Linked DNA regions of Mus musculus: regions 2, 3 and 4 are each reported to be linked to region 1. The links are microRNA targets in miRTarBase. Many come from high-throughput screens and were not tested one by one. Region 1 holds a microRNA gene; each other region holds the end of a gene's coding sequence.
The links. Region 1 holds the annotated microRNA mmu-miR-105 (CCAAGUGCUCAGAUGCUUGUGGU, at 2,197-2,219, opposite strand). A microRNA usually pairs through its seed, bases 2 to 8, with sites in the 3' UTR of a target mRNA and lowers its output. Matches are read on the target gene's strand: a 7mer-m8 pairs with bases 2 to 8, a 7mer-A1 pairs with bases 2 to 7 and ends in A, and an 8mer does both.

Region 2: the mRNA of Pwwp2a is a reported target of mmu-miR-105. The part of its 3' UTR that is shown has no 7-base or 8-base seed match.
Region 3: the mRNA of Npy1r is a reported target of mmu-miR-105. Seed matches in the 3' UTR shown: 7mer-m8 at 5,550-5,556.
Region 4: the mRNA of Coa5 is a reported target of mmu-miR-105. Seed matches in the 3' UTR shown: 7mer-m8 at 4,086-4,092.

What each region holds. Positions count from the first base shown.
Region 1 is chrX:72,589,351-72,596,350 of GRCm38, forward strand. Mir105 (microRNA 105) reads right to left here and starts at 2,229; the gene lies at 2,150-2,229. All of the region lies in intron 1 of Gabra3 (gamma-aminobutyric acid (GABA) A receptor, subunit alpha 3), which reads right to left. It overlaps Mir767 (microRNA 767), which reads right to left and starts at 744; the gene lies at 638-744.
Region 2 is chr11:43,705,157-43,712,323 of GRCm38, reverse strand. It overlaps Pwwp2a (PWWP domain containing 2A), which reads right to left. Exons shown (of 2, transcript NM_027557.1): 2 at 5,130-7,167. The coding sequence ends at 6,122. Among named protein-coding and RNA genes, the nearest start is that of Gm34963, 27 kb to the right of the region's middle.
Region 3 is chr8:66,704,408-66,711,574 of GRCm38, reverse strand. Npy1r (neuropeptide Y receptor Y1) reads right to left here. Exons shown (of 3, transcript NM_010934.4): 2 at 6,950-7,167; 3 at 4,777-6,839. The coding sequence ends at 6,387. Among named protein-coding and RNA genes, the nearest start is that of Npy1r, 11 kb to the right of the region's middle.
Region 4 is chr1:37,413,926-37,421,092 of GRCm38, forward strand. Coa5 (cytochrome C oxidase assembly factor 5) reads right to left here. Exons shown (of 3, transcript NM_198006.4): 3 at 3,160-6,702. The coding sequence ends at 6,661. Among named protein-coding and RNA genes, the nearest start is that of Coa5, 13 kb to the right of the region's middle.

The sequences.
Region 1 (7,000 bases):
AACACCTCAATACATGAACATTTATTCAGGATCATGTAGTCAAGACACCCTGAGAAATCCAACAGAAATCCAGAGGTTATGAAAGCCATGAGAATTGTTTGTACATTTGATAGGATCTCACAAAATAAATCTTATAAATGAGCTATGATACAGGAACAAAAAGCTTTACTCTATGAATTGATATCACATATGTAAAGGGAGACCTGGCAGAATATGCCCAGATGGTCATATGACTATGATATACAAATAGACATCATTTGTTCTGGAGCATCTGATCATGCTGCTTAGTTATATAGTTTTGTGATATGTATAAGTTAAAAATTATGCTATAACAAGTAGACATGGAATCATTTTGAAATTAGTAAATCATGGTTCCCTTCAGACTAGGAGAAGATCATACTGATAAAACACATGAGAAACTATTGTTACATGCTTAAGCAGTCATAGTGCATGGGATTTATTTGAGCACTGGACTATGATGCACAGGAAGTCTAGTGGCAAGTTAACATCCATAGAATTGGAACAGATAGAGATGGTACAGGAAAAACACCAGTATGTTAAGGGAGCAGAGGTCCATGTACTAGGAAAAAGCAACCAAAAATATAAACTGATACATAAAACACTGTTTTCCTATAGAGCAGTAGACAGTTAAGATTCCTCTTCAGGAACCATAGGGTATGAGCAGACAAGCATGTTATGTGCTCAGACAACCATGGTGCATGAGTAAAAACCTATATGGATTCTATAATACAAAAGTAGATGTGATACAGGAACAAATAACACGGGAATATGCCAAGATAAACAAGAGATGAGAATAAAGGTAGCATTCATAAGGCCACCAAGACATGGCAATGATGCTAAAGGCAATAACACAACATATATTCATACAATTCTCTGATGATGAAGCATTGCACCAACGTGTATTTCCAGACATTACAAGCAAATAGTTTGACTATAGCTTAAGAGTAGATGGTCAAGTATATTAGGGAAAAATGATTATAGAAGAGCAGAAAATAATCATGTTATGATTAATAGAATACTCCAGATAGCATTGATTCAAAGAGAGTCAGCACTCCATTGCATAAGCTTATGCCACAGTCTTTAAAACTGAAGTGTGGACACTATGCCCCTCCTTAGAATAGGGAACAAAACACCCTGGGAAGGAGTTACAGAGACAAAGTTTGGAGCTGAGATGAAAGGATGGTCCATGTAGAGACTGCCATATCCAGGGATCCACCCCATAATCAGCATCCAAACGCTGACACCATTGCATACACTAGCAAGATTTTGCTGAAAGGACCCAGATGTAGCTGTCTCTTGTGAGACTATGCCGGGGCCTAGAAAACACAGAAGTGGATGCTCACAGTCAGCTAATGGATGGATCACAGGACTCCCAATGGAGGAGCTAGAGAAAGTACCCAAGGAGCTAAAGGGATCTGCAACCCTATAGGCGGAACAACATAATGAACTAACCAGTATCCCGGAGCTCTTGACTCTAACTGCATATGTATCAAAAGATGGCCTAGTCGGCCATCACTGGAAAGAGAGGCCCATTGGACACGCAAACTTTATATGCCCCAGTACAGGGTAACGCCAGGGCCAAAAAGGGGGAGTGGGTGGGTAGGGGAGTGGGGGTGGGTGGGTATGGGGGACTTTTGGTATAGCATTGGAAATGTAAATGAGCTAAATACCTAATAAAAAATGGAAGAAAAAAAAAACACTATTGCAAGTATCATTGTTTTACCATAAAGACATGTACATTAGCTGCAGAACTGAGACTGGCACCCATGACAAGAAATCAAGGAATATCATATCAGCACCACCATTACTGTTGTCACATATACTTCACAACATTCTACTCAGTGTTGGAAATGCAATCATGTATTAATATGTACAGATTTATGAGACATCTTTGGCATTTTGTGGAAATAAAAGAACAGAAATGCAATTTGAGGTATTCAAGACCCCACAGTTAACAATCAATACTTTCAAATTCAAACACAAATATTTTGGCTTCACCGCCCACCGTTTTAAGTACAATAATAAATGACAATATGCTGTGAGTCACCTGACAGACAGCCATGGAACATGGTTTAAAAACAGAGTAATGAATGGCTTTGTTCCAGAAGCAGATGGCAATGTTGTAAAAGTAGGTACCATAGCACATGCTCAAGCATTCGTGGTGCATAAGCAGCCACCACAAGCATCTGAGCACTTGGCTAAAATGCACACACAGAGCATCTTGCAACAGGTGTTAATGCCATGTTACAGGCGAAGACATCAATGACAAAGGAGAGAGAAACTCATATTAGTAGGAAAGCACACAGTGTACAGATTAACATGAAAGGAGCAAAATATTCCATTTCTGAAAAAAACAGACTGTCATTATGTATACAAATCGTATAACAACTTCAAACACGTGACTGAAAATTTTTAGTTATGTAACCATTTTGGATAATGACTCAGTTCACATATGAAAAATGAAATGCATGTGATGCCAAAAATAATAAAATAATAAACTCCATTCAACTTTATTAAAAGAATGAATGCATGCCATTGGTCTAAGAGAATAACTGAATAGTATAGGATGCTTAGATGACTAAAATGTAAGAAAAAGTCTTGGAATATATGTTTCTAATATATAGCCGTACACCTACAGAACACAGGCTACTAATTGTAATACCAGTACATGTCGACAAATTACAGAAATAAACCGTGATGTGATTATTACTCAGACATGGTATGCTAATAAGAAAAGTATATAAGCAATGGATACCTCTGCTTCAAGAGGATGACAATGAAACCAAATCAAGTTACATGAAATCAGGCCATGGCATATGTGGATTTGTGCTTGTTTCTGGTAAAAAAAAAATCAAAGGTATCCCATTATATGAAGAAACAACTATTAGTATTGATAATAGAAACTGTATATGAGCAGTCAGCATAAACTGAGGGATCCTTCCCTGTACAAGATCTACTGGCCACAATATTACAACTAATATTCATACTAATGCAAATCATTCTATATTCCGAAGGAAATCATGAATTTTTTTGTCTTTTATACTTAGGATGGGTTAGTAGTTTCCATCATGTATCTTCAGATAACAATAGTGGTTGATAGTGTACACATATAATAAGCAATCAGATAAACTACAGTAGTGGGTCGAGACAGAAAGATAAGCTCAATTCAACATCCACAAACAAAATAAAGTTTTCAGTCAAGAGAAGAGGTAAACGGTACAAAATGAAACCTTGTGCTAAATGTTCAGATGAACATCTTAACCTTGAGTTCTTAATTATGATTCATACCTTTAAAACACAATTAGTTATAACTCTATTTCCAGGGAATCTGATGCCCTTTTCTAGACCTCCATTTGGATTGCAAATATGTAGTAAAAGACTTATACCCAAGAATATGTATGTGTGTGTGTGTGTGTGTGTATGTATATATATATTTGCATTCTGGAACTATATATTTATAGTTACAAAGTAAAAAATGACTATATGTGTGTGAGTGTATGTGTGTATACAAATCAAACTTAACTTAATGAAATTTAAAAAAAATTAAAAGCCACAATACAAAAGCGTATGTCTTCAAGTACAGAGGCTGTTATGAATTGAATTATGTCCTCTCCAAAGAGATTTTGAAGTTATCATTCTCAATACCTGTGGTTGTGATCTCATATGCAACTGAGTCTTCTGGTAGTAAACTCAACATGAAGTTATGCTATAAACATTTGAGTATGTCTTACACCTGAAACTCATATTGAAATCTGAAAGTTACTGTGAAATGTTAGAATACATGGCCTTTTAAGAAGCTGAAAGGAGTGTTCCTCTTTCTCCACATCCTCGCCAGCATCTGCTGTCACCTGAATTTTTGATCTTAGCCATTCTGACTGGTGTGAGGTGGAATCTCACCGTTTCCCTGATGATTAAGGATTCTGAACATTTTTTCAGGTGCTTCTCAGCCATTCGGTATCCCTCAGGTGAGAATTCTTTGTTTAGCACTGAGCCCCATTTTTTAATGGGGTCATTTGATTTTCTGGAGTCTACCTTCTTGAGTTCTTTATATATATTGGATATTAGTCCCCTATCTGATTTATAGGTAAAGATCCTTTCCCAATCTGTTGGTGGCCTTTTTGTCTTATTGACGGTGTCTTTTGCCTTACAGAAGCTTTGCAGTTTTATGAGGTCCCATTTGTCAATTCTCGATCTTACAGCACAAGCCATTGCTGTTCTATTCAGGAATTTTTTCCCCTGTTCCCATATCTTCGAGGCTTTTCCCCACTTTCTCCTCTATAAGTTTCAGTGTCTCTGGTTTTATGTGGAGTTCCTTGATCCACTTAGATTTGACCTTAGTACAAGGAGATAGGAATGGATCAAGTCACATTCTTCTACATGATAACCACCAGTTGTGCCAGCACCATTTCTTGAAAATGCTGTGTTTTTTCCACTGGATGGTTTTAGCTCCATTGTTGGTGGGATTGCAGGCTTATACAACCACTCTGGAAGTCAGTCTGGCGATTCCTCAGAAAATTGGACATAGTATTACCGGAGGATCCTGCAATACCTCTCCTGGGCATATATCCAGAAGATGTTCCAACCGGTAAGAAGGACACATGCTCCACTATGTTCATAGCAGCCTTATTTATAATAGCCAGAAGCTGGAAAGAACCCAGATGCCCCACAACAGAGGAATGGATACAGAAAATGTGGTACATTTACACAATGGAGTACTACTCAGCTATTAAAAAGAATGAATTTATGAAGTTCCTAGGCAAATGGTTGGACCTAGAGGGCATCATCCTGAGTGAGGTAACACAATCACAAAAGAACTCAAATGATATGTACTCACTGATAAGTGGATATTAGCCCAGAAACTTAGAATACCCAAGATATAAGATACAATTTGCTAAACACATGAAACTCAAGAAGAACGAAGACCAAAGTGTAGACACTTTGCCTCTTCTTAGAATTGGAAACAATCACCCATGGAAGGAGTTACAGAGACAAAGTTTGGAGCAGAGACAAAAGGATGGACCATCTAGAGACTGCCATATCCAGGGATCCATCCCATAATCAGCTTCCAAATGCTGACACCATTGCACACACTAGCAAGATTTTGCTGAAAGTAACCTGATATAGCTGTCTCTTGTGAGGCTATGCCAGGGCCTAGCAAACACAGAAGTGGATGCTCATGGTCAGCTATTGGATCGATCACAGAGCTCCCAATGGAGGAGCTAGAGAAAGTACCCAAGGAGCTAAAGGGATCTGCAACTCTATAGGTGGAACAACAATATGAACTAACCAGTACCCCAGAGCTCTTGACTCTAGCTGCATATGTATCAGAAGATGGCCTAGTCGGCCATCAGTGGAAAGAGAGGCCCATTGGTCATGCATACTTTATATGCCTCAGTACAGGGGAACACCAGGGACAAAAAGTGGGGGTGGGTGGGTAAGGGAGTGGGAGGGAGGGTATGAGGGACTTTTGGGATAGCATTGGAAATGTAAATGAGGAAAATACCTAATTAAAAATATTAAAGAAGAAAAAAAAAGAAGCTAAATGGGATTAGTTTATTTTTTTTTATTCTTTAGATTGTGGATCAATCTCACGGAAGTGGTATAGGTGTTGCAGGTCTGGGTCATAAACTGAATGTGCTCCTAGAGCTTTCTCTCTTTTACATGTTTCTATATCCCTACTGTTTTACCATCATGTTGGATGTAGCCTAAGGCTATCTTCAGCTATGACTATCTTCTCTTGGATTTCCATGCTCTAGAGCTATGAGGTAAATAAGCTTCCTTTATTTATAAATAACTCAATCACATCTATTCTATTTTATCAACAGAAAATGCAGTAATATGTTTGCATGGTCCACAAATCCAGTGACTACTGTCTGTATAAAAAACAGAGTGAAATTTGAACAACAACAAAAAAGATAACAGCATGTCTCAACAGAGCTAGTGATGATGCCACAAGCCAAGAAATTCTTGAAGCTAACAAAAGCTATTAAATTTTTCCACAGAACCTGCAAAAATAGCATAGCCCTGCCAATATTTTCATTTTGCAGTTATAGCCTCTAGAAATATGAGCAAATAAGGGTGCAATTATATTTTGTGTTCATAGCCCTTGGAGACAATAGTGAATGGTATTGTTCCAAAAGACAAACTTCAGCACCTGTGAGGTGATCAGTAACTTGACATCCATATTGTACTATAGTAACAATTATGTATTAGAATGAGAACTTATCAATAAGCATTAAACTATAGTTATGCACCAGAAAGCAATGCATTCAAGAGATACAGTAATACAAAGCATTTGGGGTTGCTGCCAGCATAACACAGCATGCTGATTTATAGTAATGTCATGTGCATAAGCTCTTAATTTTTTTAGTAATCAGTAATACACAAGAACATATTATAAAATTAACAAAGCCAAACTACAGTTCTCTAAAGGTCAACCTGGTTCTGAAGAGAGATAGTCAGCAATGCTCTTGTCACACAGCTATAAAAATGGGGGTTGGGACTCTGAGCACTCAGGTAGAAGCAGGGCATGGCAGCACACATCTGTTGAGAAGATTGTTCCCCGGAGTTTGCTGGCCAGACTGTCTAGCCAATCAGGAGCTGCTCCAATTTCAGAAAAAAAATCTCCAAAAGTCAGAGTGGCAGAACAGAACACCCAGAATTGACCACACACACACACACACACACACACACACACACACACACAGAGAGAGAGAGAGAGAGAGAGAGAGAGAGAGAGAGAGAGAGAGGGAGAGAGAGGCACACACACATATTCTCCCTCTCTGTCTCTCTGTCTCTGTCTCTCTGTATGTATGTATTATGTATGTATGTATGTATGTATGTATGTGTGTGTGTGTATCTCACATAGAGTACACACACACACAGTGTCAACTGGCCAGACCCCCCGTAGGTCCCAGGGACTGGACCACAACCAAAGAGTACACATGGAGGGACCCGTGGCTCCAGCCACATATGTGGC
Region 2 (7,167 bases), not on the chromosome of region 1:
AGAAAGCCTACCCATAAAAGCCACACTCCAGGCCTACAGGCGCAGATGACAGGAGATAGAGAGGCAGAGACAAGAGGATGTCAAGCTTGAAGCCAGCCTAGGCTACATGAGACCTAGTCTCAAACAGCTGCAAAACTCGAACATATTTATACATACATGCACACTTATACATACAAGCATAGCGGGTGGGAGGGTGGCACTAATACTTTAGCCATGAAGGACTTGGCGTTCCTTTCCTTGCAGACATGGATACCAGTATAGAAATTATGAGGGTTTCCCTCTTTTTTAAGAGAGGATCCATGTAGCCCAAGCTGGTCTCAAACCTATTTACCCAACACTGACCTTCCTGATTGATCTTCCTTTTTACAAAATTTTTACAAAACATTGTGAAGATTGTCTTTACACTATGCCTTTAGAGCTGGGCACAGTGGTGCAGGTCTACAATCCTCACGCTTCAGAGGTCAGAAGTCAGTGTCCAATCCCCTGGACAGGCTGTTGTGAGCTGCCTGATGCTGAAGTGGATGCTGGGTACAGTACAGTTTGTACTTTCATCTGCTGACCCATCTGTCCAGCCTCCATTATTATCAAACTTATTAAAATGTCTCCTTTATTCACAAAAAAATTATCCAAGCAATTGCTACCATTGAAAGATTGTTGTACTCAATGTAGTTAAATTAATTCACCTAAAACTTTTACTAAGGGGCGGCTGGGCAGCTGTAGTCCTTAAGCATAAAACACTGTTAGTGCTGTTATCTAGAGTATGCTCCATACAGGACTGCAGGTACACAGCAAGGAATCCTGGAAGCAAACATTGTGGCCCCAATTCTCAGCAAATTTAAAACTCTATTAAAAACACTGATTATAAGTCACTTTTGTAATCCCAGCATTCGGGAGGCTAAAACAAGATTGTCCTGGGCTAGAAACCAGACTGGGTTAGAGTGACCTAGTTTCATAAAACCAATGGGGGAGCGGGAAGGAAAGCAAAGCAAAGCACCCATATTACAGATAGACAGTGGTATAGTACAGACTTAAAACAGACTTAACACCTTTAAAATGTACAACTGGGGGCTGAAGAGATGGCTCAGAGTTCCAAAAGCTTGCTGTTTTTTTTTTTAATATTTATTTATTTATTATATGTAAGTACACTGTAGCTGTCTTCAGACACTCCAGAAGAGGGCATCAGATTTCGTTACGGATGGTTGTGAGCCACCATGTGGTTGCTGGGATTTGAACTCGGGACCTTCAGAAGAGCAGTCGGCGCTCTTAACCACCGAGCCATTTCGCCAGCCCCAAAGCTTGCTGTTCTTATTTGTAGCACCTACATCAGGTGGCTCTCAATGACCTACAATGCCAGATTCAGGGAATCTAATCCCATCTTTTAGCCTCTGAAGGCATTTGTACATGTGGGCACGAGAGCACGCGCACACACACGCACACATACACATCACGTTTTTTTAATTGTACAATTAAAATTGATTTTAAGATAGTAGGCAAGGTCCAGCCTGGTCTACTTATCAAGGCTAGATAGTGTGACCCTGTCTATTTTTTAAAAAACATTTATTGACTGATTGATTCTGAGTACGCTGTAGCTGTCTTCAGACACACCAGAAGAGGGCATCAGATCCCATTACAGGTGGTTGTGAGCCACCTTGTGGTTGGTGGGAATTGAACTCAAGACCTCTGGAAGAGCAGTCAGTGCTCTTAATCACTGAGCCATTTCTCCAGCCCCTATCTATTTTGTTTTAAAGGCAAAGCTTTAAACTAGTTATGGTGGCACATGGCTATGATCCCAATACTGAGGGGCTGAGAGAGAAGGATTACTGCATGTCCAGCCAGCCTGACCCATACAACAAAATCCTCTAAAAAGCAAATACGCCCCCAAAATGGTTAAATTTTAGGCCATGTCTATTTAAGCATTCATAAAGTTACAATTCACTTTACTACGACAAAGATAATGTTGTTTGTTTTTAACTGAAGACACAGGGACAGTAAAGGAGTGACGCCCTTCTGAATATCACAGCGGGGTGTGCTACAACAGCCAGCACCACAGAGCCAAACTCAATGGTGTCCCTTTCGGAGGATAGATTAAACTTAGTATCAATTATCATGGCAAAAATAAAACCCAGATACTCTGCAAAAAGTCTAATAAAATCATTTACCACTGTGCAACCGTGGCTAAATGAAGGCCCGAGTACAGAAATGTCCACGCCCCGTGGAAGCGCAGTCAGCACCTTTCAAGTCAGAACCAGGGGAAAGTAGAAACAAAGATTGGCCGCTCACTCTCCTGGCACGGAATGGAACGGCTCCAACCCAGCTTTAGCTCTCAACTCCAGATTTTTCTATTAAAGTGTTAATAGCTATTAGCACAGCCCCAAAGCAAAAACTGAATTTGTCCCTCCTTAGAAAATGACCATCACTAACTGGCCAATTCCCTATTTGAAACCATCAGTGAACATAAACCTTTGAACTAAAACCTTCATTACAAGCTTTCTAGTATGTCAGTATGGCACTAGACTGTCAGTCCAAACTACAGAACATTCATAACTTAAATGGAGAAAAAAAAAGACCTAACTAAACATATACTATAAATTTCTGATTTTCTGATTCTCAATTCAGTCATTCAGTATAAAGGAAAACTGGCCACTTTCCAAATGTCTGAACATATGTTTCCTTCAATAACCAATAACTTTAGAAAGTAACAGCCTCTCTTAGTTGAATAAACTCCATACCCTAGATGGATCTAAGCTGATTTAAGTATCAATTCTATGTTGTCTGCCTACAATGTCTTCAGAAAAATTCCTGCTTAGTACTTGCTGCATGTAGTACTAAGCTACAATAATAGCAACCATTAACATTCTGTTTCCAGCCGTATGTGTTGGTGTAAGCCTGTAATACTAGCACAGAAGAGCTCAAGATCAGCCTGGGCTATAAGGGAAGATCCTGCTCCAAAAACTGAAAAAAGGCTGGGTGGTGGTGGCGCACGCCTTTAATCCCAGCACTCAGGAGGCAGAGGCAGGCGGATTTCTGAGTTCCAGGCCAGCCTGGTCTACAGAGTGAGTTCCAGGACAGCCAGGGCTACACAGAGAAACCCTGTCTCGAAAAACAAAAGCAACAACAACAACACAAAAAACAAAAACTGAAAACAAACAAACAAAAAAATATCAAAACCACTTAGGAGGAAACAGGGATAGATAAAAAATCTGTTAATAGAATGCCTGGCTAAAGTGAAAAAGGCCTGGATTCGGTCCTCATCATCATAGAAACTGGGTGTGTTGGAATCCCTGCATGAGAGGTGGAGAGATCAGAAGCTGAGGTGAACTGTAGGTAGGCTAGACTGCTATACTGGAAACAAAACACTTGGGGACACACCATTAAATCTGACTTTAGATAGTGAATCCTTTACAGGTCTTCTGTTCTGTGGGAATAAACTAGAATAGAAAACAGATTTCTTCTAAAAGACCAGTGCACTTGCTGATTTCTAAGCTCTACAAAATGAAGAAGGAAACATGAGGCTTTAAATTTCTAAAGATGCCATCCTGACAACTTATTTGTTTTCTGCACTTGCTCATCCTTGTCTTTTAGCTACTTTTCTTATATTGGAAATTTGTCTAAGTAAATTCTCTCAGAAAAGAGAAACCAAACCAAACAAGAAGAAAAAAGTCCATTTGGTTTATTATCGTACATACAGTACCTTTTATCTTCTCAGAGGAAACTCTGTTACAGTAGATAGCAAATGGTCACCTTGCTTGGAAAATTCTACTGGGATATCTTTAAAAATAGTATCTCACTATGTGGCCCTGGCTGGTCTAGATAGAATTCCATAGATCAGATCGGCCTCAATCTCAGAGAACATGCTAGGGCTAAAGGCATGTACCAGCACACAGAGCCAAATATTCCTTTGTTCATTTTCTGGACAAGAATTCATTATGTGCCCTGGTCAATCTCTAAGTCACTCAACCCTCTTGCATCCACCTCTCAAATGATAGGATCACTAGAACATGCCATCACTCCTGGCTGAATGTTATTTATATACTCCACAATCACAGATTGTATTTTCCCATGTAGCTTCTGAAATAGGACAAATGGTTTATGCCATAAAGATACATTGCCAAAGTGTCTGACTGTATTAGCAACACCCACTTTCAAAGTCACAACTACAACAGCCCAGATCACACACTTCACATTACTTTTTAGATGACTCTCGCATAAATCAGTTTTTCAAAAGGTAAACAAACAAGTACTCTAATCTAAAACAGTTACTCAGAAAACCTAGGATATTTCCCTCATAAGCCCTTCATCACACTGTGAGCTTTCAGACTGTCATAATCAGATTAGTTTCTGTTTGCAGGAAAGAATATGTATCTTTTTCTTTGTGTGTTTATTAAAATCAAAAAGCATTGACTAAGTTCCCCAGAAGAAATTCTATTTTCTTTCCCAGAAATAATCAGGTATCAAGCTTAAGGAAGTTCATTTCCAAATTTCATTATCTTTATTATTAATTATGTAGTAACTAACATATCTCACACTGGATTATTTTAGAAATCCATAAAAGTTTACCTTTTTGTATCTCAAGTAAGTACTAACTGAAACTATATCAAATTTAAGAAAACAAAAGGCTTGGAAGCAACTTAATTCTCGAGATCACCTTGCCTCTGCGGGCACTCAGGAGGCAGAAGCAGGCAAGGCTCTGAGCTTGAAATCAGCCTGGCCAGCCAAAGTGACATAGCGAGACTCTTAAAAAATAACATCTTAGGGACAGGTAGACCATGTAGAATATGGAGTTAGATTACTAAGCCCATAAAGCAGTGATATCTGAGGCAGGAGACCAGAGAGCAAACCAACTACAATTACCTAATTTTTTAAAGCATGACAATTTATCAAAGCTAAAACTGAGGGGAAAAAATGAAAAGCATTCATGAGCAGTTGATAGGAACTAGAGTTCTACCGGATGGTATTACTATAGAGCCTCACTGTACCTCCTGTTATTTGAATTTTATTTATTCTCCAATACATCCCTGACAGGGCAAACAAAAATGTTTAATTTCTCATGTTTTCTAACCACTATTGCAAAGAAAAATTTCTACTATTTTGAAACTGTTCAAAGCTTTTTGAGAAACACACACAAATAATTTGGATTTAGTTGATTTTATTTACAGCTTTTTTTTTTTTACATTTCAATGCATTATACAATCACATTTCTCATTTTCTGACCTGCAAACAGATTACCTTAAATGGAAAATGCTTCTGAAAAACTATCAAATTAGGTACATCCAAAATGCAACAATTACACATGACATTAATTCACAAAGTGTAAATTGCTAGGGTCTGTCCTAAGAATTTAGGAACAGCCAGTCAGGAGAAATCTGACTAACTTTTCACTCAATTATTTATATACCCCAAATAAAATCTATCTAAACTTCCCACCAAATATCTGACAGTTTGTTTTACAACCTCACTGGACAAGAGAGTACTGACCCAAACCTGTCTAGTCTTAATAGTTTTAATCCCAAATACTGGCAATGTGTACAGCCTGGTCTATAACTAAACAGCAAGCATACCAATTTGTCATAGCAAGCATCTCAGTGTGTCAAACATCCAATATCAAACTTTTATACCCTATGTGCATAGAAAGTCTAAGTTTTCACTAGATAAAACAAGTAATCATTGAATATCCACTGTTCCCCAAGTTCCAGCCCTTACTAAAATCTCAAATATGCAACCCATGTCACATGGTGACAGACAATAGTTTATACATGTGGATGTGTGTGTATGTATGTCTAGGTGTGCATACCTAGACATACATATACACACAAACAATAGCTACAAATGGCAATTAACAGTCCCTGCAAAAATTGTTTCATTTGAAGCTATGGCTTCTATGCCTTAGGGTGGTTTTAGATTTTAAAACTGGAAAATATTCCTAAAATCCTACTTAAGAGAAAATTTGAAACATCTTTCAGTTTTCAGCTTCTTAGTGTAAAAATGGCTATATATAACGTATAAAAAGCCAACTGAGTGCAATTTCTCACCAGTTTGGCCAAGCTAGCTGGTGGAAATGATTCCTGACTAGCCAGGGACCTGCAGCAGCTCCAGTGGTTCTCGCCTACCTTACTGTCCATGTTCACGTTTCAAATTGTGTCAACAAAGCCCGCACTTCAGGGGTCAGCTGCTTAGCAGCCTTAGCAGCCTCTGTGATAGCCCTGCGATACAGACCCTTTCTCTTCTTATTAAACCGTAACTGGAAGTTTTCTAGAAAGGGGGAGAGTTGTGAGAGAGCAAGGGAAGATGTGGTTGGAGATGCAAACCATGAGATACGGGCCTCCTGCCGGGCTAAAAGGCCGTTATCTTTCCGGCTTACAGTGATGGTAAGAATACGGGCTGGCCACCAAGGGAAGCCATATATCTTGGCCCAAACAATGTCCCCTACACATATGGTCCTGCCATCTGGTGTGATACATTTAGAGACATTTTTTGAAAAGATTTTCATTTTCAAAGAATTACGGAGGCTATTCTCTTCCTTTGAAGAGAAGGAAGTAGAAGTGGAAGAGGCAGAAGGTGCGTGCATACAGCCGGGAGGAAAAACGAAGCTCTCAGAAGAGCTACACTCAGAGTTGGAGGATTTCAAATCATCCATGCTATCAATGCTACACACTGAGGCACTGGAAGAGTCAGATGTCTCCTGATTTAGGGTCAGGTAAACAGAGATACTGCTTTTGCTGCCCTTTTTGCCCAACATCCGCAGTTCCTCCTGCTCACCAGGCACACGCACTCTGCTTGTGTCCTGAACCTCACCGGCGGACTCTTCCGGGCCTTCTGAGGGACTCGGTTTTTCTGAAGGGGCCTCACCTGCTGAGCGGGTGGAGGTGCATCGAGACTGCGGCTTAGGCGCCAGCTTGCCACTCCGAATTTTCTCCAGTCCCGTCTTCAGAGAAGAGTCATTTTCTTCGTTCCTGTACCTTTGTGGTTTTAACCGCACTCGGGGTGGGAGAGAACCTGAGCTGGGACTCTGATACCGACGTGTGAAGTGGACTTTCGCATGGGCGGTTTTGGAAGTGGAGGTTTCACTTTGCTTCTTCTGTGCCTTTTCTTTGGCAATTTTCAATACTTCCCGAGCTTTTGCGTGATCCATGTTCTTGCTTTGGAGCACTTTCTTGGTATTTAACTGAG
Region 3 (7,167 bases), not on the chromosome of region 1:
ACACCCAGGAGGCAGAAAGAATTCTGGGAGAGAGCCAAGAGTGAGAAGATCCAGGGAGGTGTGAGGAGACAGAGGCATGGTACCTGAGCACAGTAACCAGCCGTGTGGGAGGATCCACCCAGGGAGGTGGAGGAGACGGAGGCATGGTGACCAGACATGTGGCAGAATGTAGGTTAAAATAATTAGGTTATTTTAGTTATGATCTAGTCCTAGCAATATGGCCAAGGAATTTGTAAATATATTTTGAGTCTGAATCTTATTTCTGAGAGCATGGGGCTGAGAGGAAGAACCAGACCTCAACTTCTACAAAATTATATTGACAACACAGACCTGTAATAGCACATAATTATTTTATTTATTTATTTGTTTGTTTACTTTTACATTAGAAAACATGGACAATAAAGCTAGAATCATGTCTTACTGGCTACTCTTCCAGAGTACTTGAATTTGATTCCCAGCACCCAAATGACAGTTCACAATCCTCTGTAACATTAGTTCCAGGGGATTCTGTCACCCCCTTCTGGCCTCTTCAGGTACTGCACACACGTGGTGTGCAGACATGTAGACAAAAGAGTCATACACATAAATTAATTTTTTTAATTAAAAAAATGAAATGTAGACAATATTATAAGGGTGCTGGTTGACAACCCAGGTGTAAGATTTAATCAGATACAGTTTCAGGGTTCTATAGTTGTTGGTTTGATTTTTTTTTTTTGTCTTGAGTTAAATACTATTCATCCTTAGTCACCAGTTTTAACTGATAACCTTTTTCCTTTCCCTCCTAGGTAAGATTCAAGATTCTAGAATCTATTGGGCATCAATTGCTGTTCTGTACTCAAAGATGTAAAGTCTCAAGACTTTGGGCTAGAATACAGGACTTTGTGGGATAATATTCTCTCCCATCCCCAACATCACAAAGAAGAAGAAGATTAATACTAATTAAGTTTCAAATATCCAGAGGCACACCAGGAAAATGTTCTCAGAAGATTACTAAAGCTCTGCCTAGGAAAGTAGGAAGTGAGATCTGAGAAAATGAGAGAACAGCGGAAATGGACCAACATTTATAGTAACATCCTTGTGTGGACCAGATGCATGTCTCAATTCTGTATCTACACCTAAATGGCCACGGCGAAGAGTTTGCCTCCATTACTGAACGTGAGCTGTGAAAGATATTTCCTTTTAAAAATGTTTCTGGGACCACTCAAGGTTGTCGAAGAGCTGAGCCTGGTGACACAAGCCTGCAATCCTAGCTATCTGGGAGGCTGGGGCAGGAAGATTACAAGTTCAAGGCCAGCCTACTCTGGTTTATAACTTGAAATCCAGCCTAAAGTAACTCAATAAAAATTTTGTCTCCAAATTTTTGTTCACAAGAGGACTAGGGATAGAGCTCACAGGTAAAGTGTTTGCATAGTATGAATGAGGCTTTGGGTTCAATCACCATTACCACAAAAAAGGAAAAGAAGGATGGAGAAAAAGAGGAGAAAGACAAAGAAGATGAAGAAGGGGAGAACTACAAGAGAGGTAATGATAATAGTGATAGAGAAGACATTTTTTGTTGATAGGGGTTTGTATGGATTCAAAACTGGGATGGCAGGTGTCTTGGTTAGGGTGTTACTGCTGTGAACAGACACCATGACAATGGCAACTCTTTTTTTCTTCTTCCTTTTTGGTTTTAAGGTGTTTATTGTCATGTCAGGAAGGGGACCTAAGAGGGTAGTAAAGGCAGAGAAAGGCATAGAAAGAGGGAGAGAGTAAAGAAGTAGAGGCTGGCCATAGCCATGTGGAGAGAGTGGGAAAGGATATGGGGAGAGAGGGGAATAAGAGGGCAAAAGAGAAGCAAGCAGAAAGCAGGAATAAGAGAGTAACAATAAGAGAATAAGGACAAGGTGTTGGGGATTCCCATGGTACCCCTTCAGCCAACAACTGAATTAGATATAACACTATCCCAGTAACGGAAGCTTCATTTGGTGACAAGAGATGGGCAGTTTGCACTCATCTCCTCCATTATTTGACCATTTCATTTAGATAGCATCCTTATATATGTTATTTAAGAAGCTTGTACTATTTTAGGTGTTGCCCATACTGCCACTCAAATGCCCTTAATTCTAGCTGTCTCTCCCTGCATTCGCTCCCTCACCTCACCTTCCTCCCTACCTTATGTGATGCTTCTGTTCTGCTACAACCACCCCCTCCATCCATCTCTAACTTTTCTATATCCCTTTTCTAAGGAGGGCTTTCTGTTCCCTCTAGTCCCTTACTCTATACCTGCCCTCTGTGGTTCTATGAATTGTAGCTTATCATTGGCTTCCCAGTTAATATCCCATATAAGCAAATACATACCATTATTTGTCTTTCTTGGGTATAGGTTGCTTCACTCAGGATGATTTTTCTAGCTATATTCATTTTTCTGCAAATTTCATGATGCCACTTTTTTAAAATGGCCTAGCAATATCCTATTGTGTAAATGCACATTTTAAAAATGAATTTACCTGTTGAGGAAACTATATGTTTATTTCCAATTTCTAGTTTTTATGACTAGAGCAGCATCGAACATGGCAGAGTAAGTGTCTCTGTGGTAGGAAGAAGTGTCCAAGAAGGGTAGAGCTGATCTTGAAGTTCATCAATTTCCATCTTCTTCAAACCACCACACTGATTTACCTGGTGGTTGCACGAGTCTGTATTCTCACCAGCAATAAGTGGGTGCTTCTTTTATGCCACAGAGGATATGTATTTTCATTGTAATGTGTCTAGTTGGAAATAAAGTATAATATGTAGCCAAACTTCACTAGGAATATGTGAGATAAAATAGGGGATGAGAATATCCAGTCAATAGAAAAGAAAGGAAGTAAAAGTATATAATATAATGATACTCTAAAGTGGACTTGTCTAATTCCATAGGGGATAATAGACACATAGAGCTACCATTGCCACCTCTCCACTCTTCTCTTTCATTCTATTCTTTTCTGAAAATTTTGGCATCATCGATGTTATTATCAGGTGAACTTCAAGAAGATGAGAAAAGTAATTTTTTTTTCAAGAAAAGATCTCAAGAAGACAAGGCTGCCATCAAACTCACTATAAAGCTGAAAATGACCTTGAACCTCTGACACCCCACTTCTTCACCTTCACCTCCTGAGTGTTGTGATCACTGGCCTGTGCCACCATACCTAGTTTATGAGGTACTAGAGACTGAGTCCAGGGCTTCATGCATGCCAGGCAAGCACTTTACCAACAGAGCTATACTTCAATCCTTCAAAGTTATTTTATGGAACTACAATTAGAGCTTTGTAATAAGTTTAGTTGTGTGAGTTGTGCTTGGTTTAGATTTCTTTGTCACTTATACTTTTAAGATTTGCTCTCCTTTTGTGTGGGGAGGCAACAATGTTAATCAGGACTTCCACATTTAACCCAGTGCTTTCCACATTAGAGGTCTAAAAACTCTAGCGATGATCAATTCCTCGAAGTTCACAGAAGCTCTGTTAATTGTGCTGTGACTCTAATAGTTTCTGGTAAAATGTCACTGTTTGTCTTTAATGTGGTCATTTGTTCCTACCTCAGCTCTAGCACCTGGGCCCTGGCCTTAGACTGAACTGTTAGTTCGTCTACATCTTTGGATGAAACAGAAGAATTTGATGTTCAGTTGTCTATTAATATAACTGTCTAAGGTTCCTAGAGATGGTCTTAGCAAGTTCTCTAATGGAGAAATAGCTGTGTGTTAAGAGCGCTGCCCATATCTAGGTATGATATCTAGGGCACCTATGTTGAGAAAGGGAGTTTCCAATTAGTTCTAGGGAACAGGAAAATGCCAAGTATTAAGAATGCCAGGTTCGAGATCTTTAAAGGTCATCTTTTTCAATGAATCTTAAAAATTGGCTCTAGAATTGCCTCCCTCCCGCCCTCTGGTCAACTATAGGTTGTTCTTAGCTGTTATGTGATTTCATGCTAACATCCACAAAGCTGATGGTACAAGATCCTACAATTTAAAAAGTCATTACTGTTTCATTTAGGGGTGGAAATAATGCAGTACAAGAGAAAATGTTCACTTGCTAAAGAGGGACAGTGGGAAGAGAATCCCAAAATACACCATGATGTGAATTCCAGGTGACACAGTGGAAAGGAGAAATTTTGCCTTCATTCATTCACTTGTTTCAGAAATTTTATGTCCATAGGTATATAGATCTAGGTGTTCATATACATGTGTTGTGTATGTGTGTTCATGAGTGTATAGATGCAGTTTTGTACTGGATGAAGGGATATCCATGTGTTTGTGCGTGATGGTGAGTCTTTCCCAGTTGCTTTTCACTTCACTGAACTCAGCACAGGCTGAGTCAGTTAATCGAGCTAAGCAGCTTGCCTCAAGAACTTTTGGTTTCCTCCTCGCTGGAACACTAGGATGACACCCACCCAGCAGTTACATACATGGGACTAGGGATCCGGCCCTAGGCAACATGCTTGTACAGCAAGTTTTTGTTTTGTTTTTTGTTTTTTGTTTTTTTATCTTCTGGGCCATCTCTTCAGCCCCTGGAATACATGTAAAATAATGTTTTAATTACTTGTTGCTGTGAGAAATACACGGTGGGTCCATCATTATTACATAGTCTCTGCCTTAACAAGCTCTCAAATCTAGAAAATTAAAGTGTACGAGCCCCCAGTGGTTACAGAATAGACAGTAACTCTCTAGCCAGTTGGTAATGGGTATGGTGGAGGTATCATATCATGGAAGGCAAGTCTTGAGACAGGAAGAAAGGAAGCTCAAGAGAATCACAGAACAGACTCCTCTGAAAAAGCTCAGTTTTAATTCAGAAGTGTCTGCCCTTCTAAAATCACACACAGGCAACATTTTGTACAATACATTGAAACTGTCTTGTTCTTCAAAGTATCTTTTCTGAGTCTAAATCATGATTACAAGATACATGAAAGTAAATATATCAATATGGCAGGGCTACTCAGTACTCTATGATATAATAGTATATGATTATAAAACTCCACACATTATACAGTTTATACAAGTTAGGATGAACTTGAACTTGTATACAGTTTATACAAGTTAGGCTGCGTGAAAGTTTTAGGTACAGACATCTGTTAGCTGAAGGGTAGATACATTGACATTGTCCCTGTGTCCTCTGCAGTGAAGGATAAATGGTGAGAGTTAAACACTAGTTACTATGCAGGCACGGCTGTGTAGAAAACGCATCTTACGCGTCTGTGCAGTATGAGTTAGAAATGCTCTGAGTCGCATGCTTGTGCCAGAAAGCTTGATAGAGCTCAGCACTCTGATGAACAATGCAAAACCTTTCGATTATCAAGTCCTTTGGATGCAATTTACCTATCTGCAGCAAGACTAGTTTACATTTTAAACTAATTACCCTAAAATGCTTTGGTTGTCAGAAAAATTTTAAAATCAGGGACCTGTTTTGCCACTTCATTCTTTTTTTTTGGGGGGGGGGGTCTTTCGAGACAGGGTTTCTCTGTATAGCCCTGGCTGTTCTGGAACTCACTTTGTAGACCAGGCTGGCCTCAAACTCAGAAATCCACCTGCCTCTGCCTCCCAAGTGCTGGGATTAAAGGTGTGTGCCACCACGCCCAGCTGCCACTTCATTCTTGTGGGTGGCCTAACTCCTGGTGATATCCACAGCTGAAAAGGTGTTCTTTACTTATCTTTATCTTAGGCAAGACTCAATTAGGAGTATAAGAAATTGAGTCCTTACAGAAATAGAGAGGAAAAGGAAAAGATGCTGCCAAATGACTTCAGACACTCTTTTGACTCAGGCACATTTTAAAAGGTGACTTTTGTATACTGTCACCCTTGTGACAGACTAAGATGATGCCTAGCAGGGAACGAAGGTAGTCCGGGGTCTTGGAAATCTCATCTGATCTTGAAAATTCAGTATCTTGAGAATATCAGGTGGTGACTGCTTTTGAAATGAGCTCATGACATTACTTCAGAGAAATTCACTCCAACAAACACAATGTAAAACTCTTTGTCATATGCATAATTCAAACACATACATAAAGAAAGACAGACAGACAGACAGACAGGCAGTCTGTCTGTCTCTCTCCTTCTCTCTCTCTCTTTCTCTTTTGCACGTGCGCGCGCGCGCGCGCGCACACACATACACACACACACACACACACACACACACACACACACACACACACACACACAGGACATCTAGTCAAAACTGTTGCCAGAGATAGATTACAAAGTAATCTAGATTTCTAAGTAATCAGGGCAACCATCAAAAGCAGTCAAACCCAACACAGATGTCCTGGGCTTTCCAAGCGCGCCTCATTCCGTTCCCCCAGAGCATAGGTAAAGAAAGCATGCGGCAGGCTGTGCTTGTTTTTCCACAGATATGGCCTGGGACCATATGCTCTGAGCAGCTTCAGACTTTTTCATTGTCATTCATACTGATTTTTTTAAATGCGACTGGGCTAGCCTGCTTCAGAGACGTCTTGGACACATCCGTATGCATGGTAGACATGGCTATGGTCTCGTAGTCATCGTCTCGAGACCGGAAGTCACAAAAGTTGAAGAAGAACTGCAAGTCTCTCTGGAAATTTTTGTTCAGGAATCCATAAAAGATGGGGTTGACGCAGGTGGAGATCATGGCGGTGAGGTGACAGAGCAGAAACAGCAGATTGTGGTTGCAGGTGGCAATGATCTGGTGGTTCCAGTCGAACACAGTGTTGAAGATGGTAAGGGGCAGCCAGCAGACGGCGAAGGCGACCACAATGGAGAGCAGCATGATGTTGATTCGCTTGGTCTCACTGGACCTGTACTTACTGTCCCGGATCTTGTCCATCATGTTGTTTCTCCTTTTCAAGCGAATGTATATCTATGAAGGAAGGAAAGGGTGAATTCAAGTACAACATGCACCTCCTGGGAAGTCTGTACAAAGGAGGTAAGAAGGGAGACGGTTGAGGGAGGGGCCAATGGTTTTCTTACCTTGAAGTAGCATATGAATATAAAGCAGAGTGGGCCGAAATACTGCAGCACCAGGAGGAGAGTCGTGTAAGACAGCCTGTGAGAGTCAGATGGGAATTTGTCAAAGCACACATACTTGTCCTTGAACGCCGCAAGTGACACATTTTGGAAGGGCTCGTCGGTCAGAATTTGATAGATCACAAAGGGCAGAGAAGAAGCCACTGCAAGGACCCAAATGA
Region 4 (7,167 bases), not on the chromosome of region 1:
AATTTTTTAAAAAATGATTTATGTGAATACACACTAGCTGCCCTCAGACACACCAGAAGAGGGCATCAGATTCCATTTCAGATGGTTGTGAGCCACCATGTGGTTGCTGGGATTTGAACTCAGGACCTCTGGAAGAGCAGTCAGTACTCTTAATGGCTGAGCCATCTCTCCAGGCCCTTAGTTTTTGTTCTGCTTCTATCCCATGCCTTTAAATTACATCCCTGTACATATTTGCCCAGACTCTGCTTTTTGAATTAGGAAAGTTAAGTTCTTCCGTATAGTCACCTCGGGGTCACACTGTGTACCTCACCAGACTGTAGGTCTCCAGGTACAAATAAATGTGTGGTGGGATGGCCACAATGTCTCTCAGCGGCTTCTTCAGGGAAAGTCATTACTGTTTCTACAGGTGATGTAGATTATATCCTCGGGCAGAGGTCTGGGTGCTGCTGTAGCATCGGAAAGACAGTCCTGTCAAACCATCACACTTGGAGAGTTCAGGACCCCCTTTTAGCTCATCTCCACCACGTCACAGGATCCCATCCTTTCTCATCCAGAATATTCGCTTTAAATGATATCCTCTGAGGAGGAAAACTTGTAAGTCAGGCAGCCCATGATAAAGACTTGTCTTTGTTTTGGGAAGCTTCAGCCATGGACCACAGAAAGGAATGTGTGTGTGTGTGTGTGTGTGTGTGTGTGTGTGTGTGTGTGTGTGTGTCTTATGCAATTGGAAGCTTGTGGCTTCCTACATTCTGAAGAGGCTGAGAACCTATCCCATGGTGGTGGTGGCAAAGCTGGAAGCCTCAGAACGAGAGACCAATGATACAGTCTGAGTATGGCACTGAAGGACGGTAAGCTCCCTGGGCAGTTGCTGGTCTGAGTCTAATCTTTGCAGGCAGTGCAGCAGCAATAGACACTTGCTAGAGTCTGGGCCACTGTCTGACTTTCTGTCTCTGGTTCTTTTCCATCTGGGGCCTCAACCCACATTCCTGGCCCGCCTTTGCAGTTCCTCTGTGTATCCGTCATATCCAAAGTGTCCTCCTAACACACTCAGAAGTGGCGTTTTACTAACCCTGGGGGCCACTCAGACAAGTCAACTAGGATCAACTATCAGCAGATGCCATCAGACCACTTAGATCTTTATCTTCCCTCCCTGCCTTACCTTATCCCCTACAGCCTGGTCCCTCCGATCTGGAACGATCCTCTCCCAATTCCTGCTCCCTTCAAAGCTTAAGTCCTTTAAATAGTTTCATCATTTCATTTTTGGTTTTTTGGTTTTTTGCTTTTTTTGTTTTTTTGACAGGGTTTCTCTGTGTAGCCCTGGCTGTCCTGGAACTCACTCTATAGACCAGGCTGGCCTCAAACTCAGAAATCCACCTGCCTCTGCCTCTCAAGTGCTGGGATTAAAGGTATGCGCCACCACTGCCAGGCTTCATCATTTAATTTTTAATAGTTGATGATGTTTGTGAATGTATTTTGTAAAAGGCTTATTTACATTCTTCTAAAGGATCTGTCATGCATATTTGGTCTGCCTTGCTGTTTACCTTTGTATTATTCATAAGGACAGGTGAAGTTCTTGCCATAAAGGAACTACTCAGAGTTTACTGGATAAGGGGCTGGCAGGACAGCTCAGCAGGTAAGAGCACTTGTCATTAAGCCTTACAGTCAGACTTTGAACCCTGGAATCCACATGGTAAAAGGAGAGAACACCCTCTGGCCTCTGCATGCACACATGTGTTCACCCCACCCCACCCCCAGTTTACTAAACAAAGATGAATGGTGAATTTGTAGTGTTTATTGAACCCCTCCAAAGCCCGTGCTATGTTGTCTGTCTTTCCTTGTAACCACCAGTTATTTTAGATGCAACAGAAGAGGACAGATTCACCAAGTCAAAGGAGAGGACAAACTTGGGAGCACAGTGTGGCAGCAGAAGCACAGTTAAGTCTCCCTTGGGAGCAAGGGAGAAGGTATCCTGTCTTAGAGTTTCTATTGCTGCCACGAAACATCATGACCAAAAAGCAAGTTGGGGAGGAAAGGGTTTATTTGGCTTACACTTTCATATTGCTGTTCATCACTGAAGGCAGTCAGGGCAAGAACTCAAACAGGACAGGAATGTAGAGGCCATGGAGGGGTACTGCTTACTGGCTTGCTCCTCTTGGCTTCCTCAGCCTTTCTTATAGAACTCAGGACCACCAGCCCAAGGACTGCACTATCCACAATGGACTAGGCCCTCCCCCATCAATCACTAATTTAAAAAATGGCCTACAGCTGGATCTTATGGAGACATTTTTTTTCAGTTGAGATTACCTCTCTTCGGATGACTTTGGCTTGGGTCAAGCTGACATAAACTAGCCACCACAGCATCTTATAAACATGAGGCATGATGGGAGTAAGGACGAAGGTGACACGACTGTCATTTGATGACAGGAAACAGTCTATGTCCTTTCCTCTACACTGTTTATATTTAATAATGAAACTTATCTAAATCAAACACTTAAAAGAAAAACCTGAAAATGAAATTTAGAAAAGTGGGCCAAAGAGATGGACCAGTGGGTGGGCGTGCTTGTTACCAGGCACGAAGGCCTGAGTTGACTCCAGAAGCCATGTGCTGAGACCTGATTCCCACGGTCCTCCGACCTCCTCCACGTGTTCAGTTGCATGCATATCTCCCTAACCCCCACAAATGTAAAAAAAAAAAAAAAAAACCTGACAAAAGTGTATCATCAAGGAACAAGATGCTTAGGAATAAATAATCAAAGAGGAGAAAAATCTGCCGGGCAGTGGTGGCACATGCCTTTAATCCCAGCACTTGAGAGGCAGAGGCAGGCAGATTTCTGAGTTCGAGGCCAGCCTGGTCTACAGTGTGAGTTCCAGGACAGCCAGAGCTACAGAGAAACCCTGTCTCGAGAAGAAAAAAAAGGAGAAAAATCTACTACACTGAAAACTTGACAGTTTTGCTGTGATTAGACACCAGTAAGTGTCTTATTGATTGAGGAGTTAATCACGTTCAGATGTCAATGCACCCAGGTGCTCAGGAGGTTAATGCAGTCCCTATTCAAATGCCAACAGCACTTTTGTGTTTTTAGAGATAGACAAAATGTATATCCTGAAATACAGATTCTCAAAGAGTTATACCCCAAATAATCTTGAAACAGAACAAAGATGTTTTCAGATTCAAATTTTTATTTTAGAACAAACACTTTCTGATTTCAAATTTTGATAGTAATTCTCCAGTAATCAAAGCAGTGGCGTTGGCATGAAGGCAGACAGAGTCAGGAGAGACTGGGCTCAAAACCGGCCCCACCATGCATGGCGCCATGTTTTCCCTCCAAAGGGCATTGTGCAAAGCTAGATATGCACATGTGGAGAGTAGAAAGTCAGAGCTTCCACCACACACAAAGATTAACTCAAAATGCATCAAAGGGCAAAGCTAAGAACTAAAACTAAAATTCCCAGGGCAAGCTACAGTCAGCTCCCTTGGAATCAATGCTTTTGTAGATGTGATGACCAAAAATTCAACCAGAGTCAACTATTAACGGGCAGAGGAGACCTAAAACAATTTCTTCAAACGCTATATAAAGAAAGCCACCAAGCATCTAGAACACACCAGCAGTCAGGGAACTAGGAAGCAGAAGCACTGGTGGATCTTAACGACTTCTAGAATGGCATACAAGTCACAAGGACATAGGCAGTTCTAATCTCTGTGCACTGCGGACAGAACATAGAATAGTGTGGCTGATATGGAAACTATGGCAATGCCTACTAATAAAAACAGAAGTACCCTATGACATACAATCTGCTACATGTATGTTAAGACTGAAAGCGGGTCCTAGGGGTATTTGTATATACACGTTCACAGCATAGTCAGGAGCTCCAGGGTGGGAACAACCGAGGTACCCACGGCTGGATGAGTAGGTAACAAGATACATACAATATGCATACAACATATACTACAATACCATTTGTCCTTACAAAGGAAGGAAACCGATATATGATATGAACCTTCATGGTATTCCGCGCTGGAGGCACACACACACACACACACACTCTCTCTCTCTCTCTCACACACACACACACACACACACACACAAGTGCATGCACACAACAAAGAGTCCACATATACCAGGCACTTAGGGTACTCAAATTCAGAAACAGGAAAGAGAATGGTGGTTACCATGAGGAGAGAGTATGCCAAGGACAGGGCAGGGCGGGCGACCTGGCAGTGGCTGGGAGTCCTCAGATGGGCACACTTGCATTTCCTGAGGTGGATGCAGAACAGTGCGGCAGGCAGACTGTACTGTACTGCACTGTGAATGTGCTGAACACAATATATACGGAGCTACATACTTAGCCATACTAAAATGTATTATTTCTATTTAACTAATTTCAAATATGGTCATGAATAAAGGTGTGTAAAATAATTTTGAGAGCACAGGCCTACAGGTAAGAGGTAAAATTTATAAGCTTCTGGAAGTTTGGGTTAGGAATGGTTTCTTAGAGTGAAAGAAAAAAGACATTGTCATTTTCCAATATGAAAACTGCTCTAGTCAAGAGCAGCGGTGTGTGCTTTCTGGGAAGTGCAGCGCTGAAAATGCTCGCGCTTTGGGGATTCCCGGCCAGCCTGGGCTAAGCCACATAAGGGAATGTATAAAAATAAAGACTGTGCTATATAGAGTAGCAAGAGATTGAAAAGGACAAACACGTTGAGAAAAAAATGCCAATTAATCTTTAAGAGACTTGAGCCAACAGTAAATAAAAAATCTTATAGGAAAATAAACAGATAACCCAACTGGAAGCCAGACTGCAGACTAGAAAACACTCTGCAAAGGCAGCATAGAGAGCCAATGAACACACGAAAAACTGCTCAGGTTATTAGACACTAGAGAAATGCAACCAAGATCCCAATAGATGCCTCTTTATCACAAGCAGAATGGCTGTCAGCAATATGAGCAGTTGTGAAAGTCAGGGGTGCTGGAGCCTAGATCCCATGACAGCATGAAATGTGGTAAAATCACTGTAGAAAATATAATTGAGGCCGTCATGATACGACCTTGGAGTTCAACTCTAAGGCATGTATTAAATGAAACGTTCATAGCATTAGTCAAAAGCCCCAAAGTAGAAACAGCTCAGAGCTCATCTGCTCGATGGAGAAATACACAGTGTCTGTCTACTGTGGATGCTACTCAGCAGAACTACACTGCAGACTGATGCTACATGCCAATAAACCTGTCGAATTTGGTAACAGGACTCAGAAAAGACAGGACTACATAGTTCCACTCATCTAATAGACCTGGACCAGAGGGAGAGGGCAGAGTGCTGACCAGTGGTTACATTTCTGGAAAGGATGAGACTGTTCTGGAAGTAGATAGTGGTGACTGCAGCATGCTCCACGAACACTCTAAACTCCATGGGGTTGTCTAAGTCAAAGTCCAATTATGAGACATGTGACTTTTTCCAAATAAAGCTCTATCTACTCAAATGGAGGCATTTCATACAAACACATTTCACTCTCTGTTGAAACTGAAGCACTAGTGGAAGGTGTGGCTCAATGGTCGAGCTTCCTAGCATGCAGAATGTGCACTCCTCCACACTGCACACAGACACCAAGCTTGGGACATAGGTGGCAGGACTGAAGGGTGCAATACTCCCACTCCCAGTGGGGGCAGTACACAGAGCACAAGGGTGCAGTACCTCCTACTCCCAGTGGGGGCAGTACACAGAGCACAAGGGTGCAGTACCTCCTACTCCCAGTGGGGGCAGTACATAGAGCAGACCTCAGTGACACCCTAGGGAATCCTCATAGCTTCAAAAACTTTTAAAATAGCAAGTGAACTTCCAGTCCTTGACTGCTTTAGCCCCAGTGAACTACAGAACAATATAGAATTGCCACTCTGTTCAATGGCAAGAATCACACTGAAGATTTAGTGCCCTGATGGCTTTCTACTGTGTTAAGTGGTCAAAATAATATGTTAAGGATTCTAAACTTTTCCAGCCACTTCATGTCATTGACATTTGTTATCTAGAGTGAACATCTGTTGTGTCCATTTGCTGCATTCCAGTGTTTAGGGATGAGGCCCATAACTTATCTTATGTGATTGTGCATGGTGTCAGCACAGTACATGCGACCAGGATCTAGCCAAGATCACCAAGCATATGACCCAGGAAGGAGCAGCGTCCTTCAGCAGGGTGTGACTTGTGGGCCAGCCTATGCTCTCCTTTTTGGAGCCCACCCATATCTTGAGGATGTGGTCTATGGCTGATTTCACCCCTTTATGAGGAGGGGGTTGGCCTAAAATTGAAACCAAGAAACAGAAAAAAGAGTTGGAGGAGCCACTATCTATGCCAATCTCATCATGGCCTCCTGAATTCACACACTGTGTAATCTGATCGAAGAGTCATCCTTGAACATAATCTCTTCATTAGGTAATTCCCCAGACACATTCTTAGCCCATAGTTGTTTAGTCCCATGGATCTTCTATAAATGACTTCAGCCAGCAGACTCATTCAGAAACAGCACTGATCCATTTTCTCTGGTGTCCTTGGGAGGAACACCTGGCCCAGAGGTGGAAGAGATGCGGCAGCTGCTGTGCTTCCCGTTTGGTTCCTTTCTGTTAAGGACCATGGAAAATCCTGGGTGACTTTCATCTTGCGTTCAGCATGTTATCAATATCCTTTTCTCCCTCTGAATCTTGATCTGGCATCCAGCTGAAAAGAAGCATGCATGCATTTAACCACATCTGGAATAATAAGCACAGCTCTGGTAAGGGTCGTCAGTAACTTTATGAAAGAAGAAACTCGGCTGAGCATGTGGCTAATGCTACAGCCAGGTAAAGCACCTGTAAGCCTTTGTAAAAATACATAAATTATCTATTTTTCTATACTATACTATACATTGAATCCAAGGCCATACATATGTTAGGCAGGCACTCAACCGCTGAGCTACATTCTGTCCTTTTCATATACTTTTTTGATAAGGTCTCACGAAGCTGTCCAGGCTGGCCTTGAATTTACTCTATAGCCCAAGAAGGCCTTAAATCTATTGTGTTCCTGCCTCAGTCTCTTTAGATAGCTGGCATCACTCTGTACCACTGGGTCTGACTAAGAGATCTATTTTCAAAACAAAATCTTCAAACGTGAGAGTCGCATTAGGATGGTGTACAGGGTCTTCCC